3 linked regions of the Ovis aries genome follow. The protein of the gene in region 2 purifies or fractionates together with the protein of the main gene of each other region. This does not show direct contact. Links are inferred from orthologs where the notes say so. Each region holds a gene or a part of one and is shown on either strand. Other genes may lie near its edges.

Region 1 (3,650 bases), on a different chromosome or scaffold from region 2:
AAGCCCCAGACCCACTGCCATCATAAGCTGAGCAAAGTTCTAAACAAGGGTTTTTAATGCTGATTCCAGCACAGACTCAAAAACATAAACACCTGACTTCACCTCCTCTATGTGTACTTACTTCCAACTGCTGCTAGAAGCTAAGCACAACTTCTTCAGAGTCTGATACTGAATTTCTCATCTACAGGAAGGTCTACATTTTGAGATGTGCAATTTTCTGCCAAGAAAAGTCACTATGCTGAGTTAACAATAACGTACCTGGCTTTCTTAGTTTTCTCAGAGTTTGTCAGGATATTCCAACCTTTCATTACTGGCATGGCACAAGCAGCTACAACCTGGAATTTCAATGGAGAAATCTCTAAGTGTTTGTAATTATACAAATTTTATTTGTAATTATAAGTAATCCAATATATAAAAATATTAAATCATATATCTGAAAACAAGCAAAGAACAGAATATTTTGGAAGATTGAGTTTTTCAGTTTTCATATTTATGATAGTCTGGCACTTTACATTTCTCTTAAAAATAAGACATCATCTTAATTTTATTATAATAATTAATATGATGTTTTAATAAGAGGCTCTGAAACAGAACATCAAATAACTGTTTTGATGAGCAGGCACTACTGAACTAAAATTGCATAAGCCAAAACAGAGTTAAATTGAAAGTGAACCTTTTCACTGCAAGCCTTTTCTCTAGTGAAAAATGGCACAGTACAAGCACTTCCAATGTTGTGTGTCACACAGACATTTGGAAATACTGACTGCTCTAAGAAGGTCTCTTTAATTTCTAAACATTACAATTATATAGGACTTGTACTTATAAAGTACTTTCTTCGATGTGTTTCCAGTTGTGAAATGAAGAGAATCAATCACACAGAAAATAAATTTATAGATATGAGTAAACAGGACCAGACTCTTGGTTACAACAATACTGATTTTAAATAAAGTTTGCTACATAATTTTAAGTTTTCTACCTTCTACAGCATGGTGTGTAATTTTAGGTATTCAGTACCTTAGGAGCTTTCTCAATTTCAACAAGGCACATCCTGCAGTTTCCAGCAACAGACAACCTTTCGTGATAACAGAATCGAGGAATCTGCATGCCAACCTTCTCACAAGCCTAGAAAAGAAAGTAAAAAATATTTGCAGTAGAATAACCTGACCTCATCTGTGTCTTGTCTAAAACACAGGAAAAATAAAACAAACAAAAATCAAACAACAAAAAAATGAGGCCATCCACTACTTATCTAATTACTCCTAACTCCAAATATCTGCGTCTTCATTCTACCTTCATCCTCAAAGAGATTTCCCTCCTTTTCTTTGTTCTTGACTCCAACCTCTGTCTGCTCTGAAGATACCTCTTTAAAGATCCTCACCATGCCTAAAAACTGGATAAAGCATCCTCAGACTGTGTTTGACTACTCACGTCTCCTCTGGACCATTCTCTACAAAGATTCCTCATTCAAACTCTGTCCCAGTGGCTTCACGTCCCTGGAGTTCCTCATTGACTAGCTTTCCTCCTTTAGATTAGACTTCATTTCACACCATCTAGGTGGCTATAATCTGGTTCTGTGTTTGGCCCCATATATCCCACTCAGGACTCCCCACTGTTGGCTAAGGGCTCTTCTCAGTTCCCATTTGCCTAGTGAGGGGGATTAGTTCAGCTCTGCCAATTTTCCCTGCTCCTTCTCTGAGCCTATAAATGCACTTAAATTTCGAGAGTTAGTTATTCCATCCTTAGCCCTCACTCTAAAGCAATCTCATCAATTTTCAATATTTTTTAACAATTTGATAAAAACGCACCAAGTCTTCCTGTGTGCTAGATGCAGTGGGTCCTGTCCCAACCTTTACACTAGCTCATCTTACATACTGATTACATTCGAACCTTCATCTGCAATCCTGACAGTCTTCCACTTCGTGTGCATGTTCTTTAGACAGTTAAAATTCAATCTATTTCCGTCCCCTACGTCTCCAGGGGATCTTCCCCACCCAGGGATCGTACCTGGGTTTCCCGCATTGCAGGCAGATTCTTTACCATCTGAGCCACAGGCAAGCCCTGTCCCCTCCTATATATCCCCAAGTAAGATAACAAAGCCAGAATTCACAAAAACTCCTCTGCTCTTTATCATTCCAAAAGGCCTGTCTATCTACATCTCACTCTCTCATGAATATACCCTTTTGTTTCCATTTCCATTGCCACAATTTTGGGCCTTCTCATTTCCTGCTCCACTAATGCAAGATATACTCTATCCTTGTCTCACTCTAATCTTAATCTCCAAAGCACCATCCTCTACAGTCAATGTCATACTGCTTAGTAGCCATGAAAACTCTTGATGGGCCAAACTACAAGCTCTTTAACATTGCACTGACTATCTTTAATGACTAGATCTTCTCCAACATCACAGTTCTGATTTCCTGCTATCTCCTCTTCTACACATACCTTGTTTCACCAGTACTAAATGACCTGAAGTTTCCTTGTCCACATATAAACATCTATTCATCCTTTAAAAACTTCTCAGGGATCATCTGAGATATTTATGACATCTCTTCTACCACCTCCTATTCATGCCAAAATACTCTCCACTGTACACGGAACATATTTTTGTTATATATTTATTGTTTATATTTCTACGCCTGATGGTGCAAAAGTTACTGCTAAAATGAACAAAGAGTATTTAGCTCTGCAATAATTTACAGTGGAATAAAGCACTACTTCTCCACGACCAATTTTGTTAGTTCTGGAAGAAATTGGAGATATTAAGTGTTTGGGGCATAAATTCAAGAACCTACTACCCTCCATTTACGTGCTTTGTAGGACACCTTCCTAGAAATATTGTTAAAAACAGGAAAGTTACATAAATGTGCATCAAGCAGGCTCACAACAAAGATTACCTTTCTCCCAAACTTACTCATATTAACTAATAATTTATTTCACATAACTTAAAATTTCTAAATAGGAATTTATTTGTAAGGCAGAAGTGAAACAAAAGAATTGCTATAGTTCATTAAGAAAGTCAGAAACAGAAAAGCTCATTCTGATATGCCAAGATTTCAAATCAAAGTTATTTTCATATAATTTTACTATCTACAGTTCTTTAAAGAGCATTTGTCAAGGAATCTTGAAAATTTTAGAAGTAAACAGTATCAAGAAAATAAATTGTTTTTTTTTTTATCAGATTATGCACAAAAATAAAGAATTAAAATTAATGCCTACTTGAAGGACGGTAGTTCCTGGTTCCACCATGACAGACTGACCATCAACAAATACTTCAATCAAGTTGCTTGCTGCTGTGGCAGTTGTTCGAACTGATCATCCAAAACATTGAGGTGAAGATGAAATTAGCAGAGGGTAATGGATTACATAACTAACCTACAGGTCTAAGTTTTTTCCTCATTTTATACTATTCCCTTCTATTTCTCTAGATGCAGACTTTTAAAACAGTGAATTAGAGGAAAGCTTTTCCAATCCTTAATACCAAATGGAATATAGTTGTCTATTTTTAACAGCAGTTTAGGCTGTAACTTTTTTGGCCCTGCTGTGTGGCATGTGTACAATCTTAGTTCCCTACCTGGGATTGAACCGTGCCTCCTGCCACTGTCAGTGTAGAGTCTTAACCATGGGACTGCCAGGAAGTCCCAGTTATAACT
Region 2 (3,650 bases):
TTGGGATGCCAACCTGCCAAGCTCCAGGGCTGCAGAGGAGGGAGGCGCTTGGGACACTCAGAGGCTTGTCTGCGGGGTGTCTGTGCTGATGGGTGGCCTCTCCAGAGGGTGGAGTGGTAGGAATGCACTTGGAGAGGCCTCCGGGGGGACCTGGACTGGGGGATTTTCCATGGGGGCCCTGCCAGAATCCCCAGGGGAGACCCCTGCTCCAGGAATTTGGGATGCTCTGCCTCCCCGCATTATTCTCCTATAAAAGGTGTTACGCTGGGAGATCCCAGGGGGGTGAGGAAGGGGAAAGATGTTGAGCCACTGGGACACAGCAGGGAAGGGGTCAAGGGGTCGTGCAGCCAGTTGCACCAGGTGGGGTTGGCCGCTGGCCCTTTGGGGGCAGGTGGGATCCTCCTGGGGATTGGCAGGTTGGCTGGGAGGCCCAGTGGTGGCCGGGGTGGTGGCTTGACCCATGGACGGAGGCCAAGGCCACCTGTGGGCACCATACGTTTTGAGGGGCAGGTGAAAGGTGCTGCGAGGGCGCAGGGCTCTTTGCGCCCCACGTGACAGGAAGCTGATCCCACGGTGGACGGCAGCTTGCTCCTGGTGACCGGCAGGCTGGCTGGGACTCTCAGCGTCGGGGATGGCAGCTTGCTCGGCAGGATGGTGGGGAGGCCAAGCCGAGGGGCGGCATGTGCCATGGGACAGACGAGAGGCCCGGAGGGAGTGGGACGCTCGGCGAGCTCTCGGCGGGGGTTGGATGGATGAGGAAGGAGGCAGGACGGCGGTCTCAGTGGGCTCCGCACGCTTTCCAACACAGAACCTCAGACTGAAGGCTGGCAGGGGCCTCAGGGGCCACCCAGTCCAGCCTTCCACTCTAATTCCGATCCCTTTCACCCCTGGGCAGGTGACAGCCTGGCCTTTATGAACCGCTATGAACAAACCTCCAGGGACAGGAGGGTCACAACCCGTGCGGCCACTTGTCCCACTGTGGGATGGCTTTAAAGGAAGTTCTGCTTACATGGAGTCACAGTGTACTAGTCTGGGGCCTGCGTGGTGCTGCCCTGCACCCTCATACCCCCATGTGGCCCTGCATCACTGCCGTTAACCGGGGAACGGGTGCAGGTCCGCCCCCCTCACTGAGACTTAGGAGGGCAGACAATGCATAAGGAAGCCGCAGACACAGGCATTGGCTAGTCCAGAAAAGATATAGGGCTCTGAAGGGAAGCCCTGTCCAGGCCTTCAGAAAGAGTACGTGTGATTACTGATGGCTCCTACCCTGGTACGATGGGAGGGCTGGGGCGATCCAGGCCACAGCTGGCAATTGGAGACTATCCTCCGGACAGCTCAGGACTCACTGCCTCACTGATAAATCCCCTGGGCGCGAGGTGAGTCTGAGAGTCACCTGCTGGGGCTGTGCCCCTGGGGACCTGGAATGGGGGGAGGCAGTGTCCTGGGTCAGACTTCTGAGCAACTCACCGGGTTTTCAGCATCTGAGTCTTCCGAGCTGCTGATCACCACGACGCGCTCCTCTGAAACGGAGCAGGGGAGACAGGGTTAGGCCCTGCCAGGGCTGCTCGTGGATGGAGCCCAGGGTGTTCTCCTGTGGGAATCCTTGCAGGCCAGTGGGCTGGGTGGGTAACATGTGCCCTGCAAGGGGGCTGTCAACATTCAGCGTGTGTGCCAGCGTGGATCTGCCTGTTTAGTCGCTCAGTTATGTCCGACTCTTTGCAACCCTGTGGACTGTAGCCCGCCAGGCCTCTCTGCCAGTGGAATTCTCCGGGCAAGAATACTGGAGTGGGTTGCTGTGCCTCCCTTCAGGGGACCCCCAATGCAGGGATCGAACCTGCCTCTCTGATGTCTACCTGTGTTGGCAGGCGTGTTCTTTACCACTGGGCCACCTGGGAAGCCAGGATCTGCCTGTACGGAGGGGTTACTCAAGGTGGCTTTCCATCACTGCCTGCTATGCCTTGTCTGTGACGACTTAATTCAGCTACTGGCCCTGGAATGATTCAGAACTGACTACCTGTGGAGGGGGTGTGACAAGCACCACCTGGTTTGGAACCTTTGACCATCCTAAAGCAGCACACTGGTTGTTCCAATTCTCAGCTCTGTGAGCTGAGATGTTTGAGTTAAAAGATACTTTAGGTTTACAAAACCTGATTACCAATAGCATTTGTGAGCGAGGATTCTCCATTGGGGCTGAGTGTATGGCCAGGGTCAGGGTTCAGTGTGACCGGGGACAGGGGTCAGTGTGGGACCTAGAATGAAAACAATGCTGGACACTGGGTAAAAGAGCTCCAGGAAGAACAGTCTTGAACATTCCAGGATTCTGGGGGTTGACCTCCACTCACATGAAAGGACTCCCTGTCTGGCAGTGGCCATAAAAGATACCTTGAGCAAGCGAGATACCTTAGGTGGATGGCCTTCGTAAAAAAAATTTGGGAACCGACGGGTGTGGACTTTACCCAAGTCTTCTCTGAGCATGTGCTAGACACCCACCAACAAACATTGTTTGGGGAGACCCATCCTGTGCAGAGGCATGGTACTGGGTTCAAAAAGGGTGTGTCAGGGGAAGGAGCTAAGGAAATGTGTTCCCCAGGCTATCATGCTCCCTATATGGGCATCCCAGAAAAGCATGGGCTAAACCATCCGCGCTAGCCCCCCCCAGACAAACCCTGGGCTTGCCCTTCCCCATTTGGTGGCAGCTGAGGGCAAGACACACAGGGAATGCTGCTTGCCTTGGGCTTCCTGGGAAGGGCGTGAGGATGCAGAGGAGGGGTCCCACCCAGCCCCTGGAAGACAGCATGCAGGCCTCAGCCCATCCTGCCCATCCCCACTCCCTACCTGTCTCTGCAGGGTCGCCGGTTTGATGGTTGCTTTCAGGCAAGGGGAGCTCATCTCTTATGATGGGGCTCTTGGGGCTGGAGGGCCCATCCAGGTGGGGTGGCGAGACTGCCCTGGAGGTGCTGGGCCTGGGCTGCTCAGGGGAGCTCTGAGCCAACCTAGACTCTTCCCCCTCCTCAGACTCCATCTTGATGACCTTCCGGGGGCACTCGGTCTGGCAGGCCTTCCTCTTCTGCGTGTGGGTGCCCTCCTGTGCAGTGGGGTGTCACAGGGCAGGGTCAGGAGCCTCCAAGGGGACTGGGGCCGTGGGCAGAGACCCAGACCTGAGTGGCAGGAATCTGTTCCCCGCCCCATGCCCTTTGCTCCTCCTGTCCCCTTTGCTATCTGCCGTGCGGATCACACCTCTCTACACAGAGGTCCTCCCAAGTCAGCAGGCACACTGGCCCTGCTGGTGACCACTGACCACCAATCTCTGCTGGCTTCTGACTGCCCTGGGAGGGGCTCCTGCTTGGAGGGAAGCTTCCTAACACGGCAACCAAGAGCTGGGAGAGTGCAGAGTCAGTGCCTATTGAGGTCTGGGTTCTCACTTCCATTCCACCTCTTACCACCTAGTGGGATCCGGGCCCTGGGAAGGGGAGGGGAGGGCTGGGGAATATCTTACTTCTCTGCGGGAGGGGTCTTGGATGGAGAAGGCGTACACTGGCACAGGGTGTGCCCCTGGCACCGGCTGTACCACGGCCAATCCCGCGGCTTGCATCTGGTCCCTCGGCACCTCCTCTGGCTGCAAAGTTGGGACACAAAAGTAGTCAGAAATG
Region 3 (3,650 bases), on a different chromosome or scaffold from region 2:
CTCTTTGTCCCAAGGGTTCTGACAGGACAATTTTAAGCTCTGGTGTGGGGTCTTTTTCAGGCCTTGTCCAAGGCATCTGGGGCCCTTTTTAATCCAGAGGTTAATGGTCCTAGTGCCGAGAGACTGTCTTGTATTTGTTCATCTCCTCCCTTCAGTTTACTCTGTTCTCTCTGGAATTCTTTCATCCTATGTTGGGCCTCCAGGATTAATCCTCAAATTATCCCACCTTGGTTACTTTCCTCCATCCATTTTCCATCTTCCAAAGTTTGATGAGATTGTTTTATCTTGTCCTCCATTATTTTTTTCCCTTTTTCTTTATCCATGTTGCTTTATTTTGTTTAACCCCTTCACTATTATTTTAGTAGAGTATGAGGAGCAAGCAGAGAAAATAAAAGCAGGCTTAGCAACTGGTACCCCATCTGCAATATTTACATTGTTTTTCTTCTTCCATTTCCCCTGCAGTTTTCATTGTGAAACATTCAAATAATCAGAAAAGACAGAAGAACAGTACAATGGATACCCATATACTTTCTAAAATGGGTGAATGATGCGACTCTTCTGTAATGAATTTTCGAGATTACTGAATTAGAGTTTTTCCAACTTGATGATAATCTGAGACTTCAGGGCTTAGAAGACTGTACCACAGTCTCTGCCCTGCTATCCCCAAAGCCTCTATGTAGGGGTTGTGGAAGACTCCACGGCCCTGCTGTTTTACATCCTAGGAGTCAGTGGCTGTGACCTCCAGCCAGGTACAGCCCTGGGCTCATGCTCTTGCTCAGCTGGCTCTCACAGCACTTATCAAAAAAAGGTCTCAGTCGCTGACTCACTGTACAGACTGCCCTCTGAGAGGTATTAGTGGTTATATCCCTCCTGGGCCCCTGCTGTTGGAACTAATGTTCCCTTCTAAGCAGTTAGTAGACTGAGTTATCCTGTTAGTTCCTCAAAAGAAAGGAAAATACCTGTAACTCCAAAGACAGAGTTTAATCCATCCCTCGAATGGCTCTCTTGAATAGCTACTCAAACACACATTCCACTGAAACTTGTTTTGTAGGGTTCCAGACTCCTCCCAAGTTAGCAGAAAGCACTCCCGCCACTCTGAAAGACCTGAGAGCCTTAATTCTTACTGCCGAAGACCTCAGAACACTTCTAAAATTATTCCCTTGTGTCCTGAGTGGAGAATCCAGGTCCAGTTCTGAAACACTTCACAAGCTCAGATGGGTCTCAGGATGGAAAGCAAGTGTGACAGTCTCCTGGGAAGCCTTCAGAACACATCGACCCTCATGCCCTACCCAAAATCCACTTAACCAATCAAGGGACCTGGAACTCCTCACTGTTTTACAGTCTCCTGCCTGAATGTAGATGTGGTTTTGTGACTTCCCAAGTTATCTTGTTCATTCTTTCAAAAGAAAACTTTTCTCTTCAGGATAATCAGTTTTAAGAGTTTCCATACACCAAAATATATACCCTCCCATAAAAAAACAAAAACAAAAAATAAAAATCAACCTTTCATTGGTGATTCTGATGTTCAGTGCACTTGAGAACCACTGTCCATTTACTATCTTCCGAAGAAAAATTTTCCATGGCCTCTAAGTAACAACCCATTAGTTGGGATTACTTAAAATCCTACTATGTCTTCACTATGTCTTAAGTGAGTGGCAGAGTTTAGGAATAACCTATCTCCCAATTATTTCATCTCTACTCCACTGTTACCCTCCTTAGAAAGCATTAAATATACTAATTATTTTTCCTCACTTGCTCAAAAGTCTTTAACTCCAATGCAGAAATTGTGTGAGATCTATTTCATGTAGCAGTGATGCCAAGATGTCACTGCTACTTCAAAGCTGCTTCAATGTGAGCAGAAATGGTCTCAGGTTGGAAGCAATGGCAGTCATGCTCTGTGAGCCACAGGGCGGGTGGTGGGTGAGCTTGGACACCCTCCTACAGCATTCTTTCAGACACTGGACACCACTTTTGGACAGACCAGGTAACACTTCCTGCCACTGCAGTCACAAAGATGGCATCATGGATCCATCATAAGTCACCTTCATCAGCTGATTCTTATGGCCACAACACAGCAAGTGCTGTTTGAAGTTTTATTTTTAGCCTTGGGCCAAGTCACTCTATGAAGGTGCACAGCTCACCCACCCAGACACCCACCCTGGGCCTGCACCCTGGGAATCCAGCAGCAGACACGAGAACCTTCCTCCCTCACTCCTTTCCCTCTGACAGTGGCACAAGCCCAGTTCTTAGGAAGCACCAGGAAAGGTTGGGGGTTGCAGAAAAGGGAAGAAAAGCAATATGGCATCTCAGCTAACTACTCACTGAAGTCCTCAAAGAAACCCCAAGGCTCAAGTAAGGAGAAATACAGAGTGGTCTTCCAAAGGAAGAAGATGAAGGGCAGCCTTAAACTGAGCCTGGTTACCCTCCCTAGTGGGATTACCCAACCAAATGCTGGCTGATTCTTGGCTGATTCCACTTCACTCTGTGTGGAAAGCTAAAGAATTTGTCAGGGAGTTCAACCTCAAGCGGCCTGTGGTGCAGCACTTGGTCAAGACTGATTGATATGAGGCCAGCGAATCCTTACTGGTCTCAAAGACACATCAGCTGCCCCTCCTCTGCAGTATCCCAGCTGAAAGCCACAGAACAGCCGCCTGTACACTGGTTACCAAACGCTCTGCTGATGTCAAAGGAGGGGCACTTACCCAGAGGGCTGAGGGCAGCCGCCACACTCTCCCCTACATTCTTGAGGAAATTCACACTGGGATCTTCTGATGGACCAGAGGCTTTGGTTTCAAAAAACAAAAGATACTTTTAATTCAAAGCATCTCTCTCAATGACTGAAACCTGTCACAGTCCTGTCTGTCCCAGAAGCCCTACTCCCGGGGCCTGTTCCCAGCAGCCTATACCCTATTGCTTCCCTCTCTCCCCCTCTCTAGGCCACCTCCTAGGCCCCTTTGTCTTTCACACCACTCCCCCTTCATCTACCTTCCTGGTGCCTAGAAACTCTGTACACAGAGTATAATGTATTATTTACCCCTCCCCCGGAAAAAGCATTATTTACTCAAACAAATACCCTCATCTTTGTCACTAAGGACAAGGTGAGTCAAAGGACATAGTAATACTAATAAAATCAGAATAAAACTAGAATCTAAAAGTTCAGAATGCAAGCTATGTGTAAATTTTTAACTTGGGAACTGTTTTACAAGACTTGAGCAAACCTGGCTGTGACTTTCCTAACAATTAGCATGAACAAGAAGAGAGCCGACTGGAGACGCAGGCGCTGGAGGGGCCTCCCACCTGCATGGGAGGGCCACCGGGGCAGGTGCATTAGTGGCCTTGAGCACCGAGGCACTAGTTTTCCCAGATGTACAATGGAGATGATGCTTGCACTTTGCAGGATTTTATGAGGATTAAATGCACAAACGGCCACAAAGTGCCTAGGCCAGCCACAGGCATGCAGGATTTTAGGGCACAGGGAAAGCCCTCCAGCTCTGCAGGCCCTCACATCTCATCCTTCAGAGGCCAGCAGATACAACCCTCACCTGATTCCGTGGCAGGGCCAGGGTGGGCCTCCCCTGCCTGAGGAGGACGTGGGCTCCAGTTCCCCGGTGGGCCCATCTCCCAGCCAGGCCACCCAAAGTGCCCATGTT

The links. The genes of interacting proteins can lie anywhere in the genome.
Region 1: the proteins of PML (region 2) and NDUFS1 purify together in Homo sapiens (affinity purification with mass spectrometry; 3 studies listed by BioGRID and IntAct, counting the BioPlex papers as one, with this or other methods). This does not show direct contact. The link is inferred for Ovis aries from reciprocal best matches to the Homo sapiens genes PML and NDUFS1.
Region 3: the proteins of PML (region 2) and SQSTM1 purify together in Homo sapiens (affinity purification with western blotting; 3 studies listed by BioGRID and IntAct, with this or other methods). This does not show direct contact. The link is inferred for Ovis aries from reciprocal best matches to the Homo sapiens genes PML and SQSTM1.

What each region holds. Positions count from the first base shown.
Region 1 is NC_056055.1:208,273,674-208,277,323, forward strand, and holds part of NDUFS1 (NADH-ubiquinone oxidoreductase 75 kDa subunit, mitochondrial), read right to left. Parts: intron 3,309-3,650; coding exon 3,217-3,308; intron 1,123-3,216; coding exon 1,015-1,122; intron 336-1,014; coding exon 259-335; intron 1-258.
Region 2 is NC_056071.1:32,241,783-32,245,432, forward strand, and holds part of PML (protein PML), read right to left. Parts: intron 3,617-3,650; coding exon 3,497-3,616; intron 3,086-3,496; coding exon 2,836-3,085; intron 1,521-2,835; coding exon 1,468-1,520; intron 796-1,467; coding exon of another isoform or gene 58-795; exon of another isoform or gene 1-57.
Region 3 is NC_056058.1:1,199,552-1,203,201, forward strand, and holds part of SQSTM1 (sequestosome-1), read right to left. Parts: coding exon 3,543-3,650; intron 2,784-3,542; coding exon 2,703-2,783; intron 1-2,702. UniProt on the Homo sapiens protein: Molecular adapter required for selective macroautophagy (aggrephagy) by acting as a bridge between polyubiquitinated proteins and autophagosomes.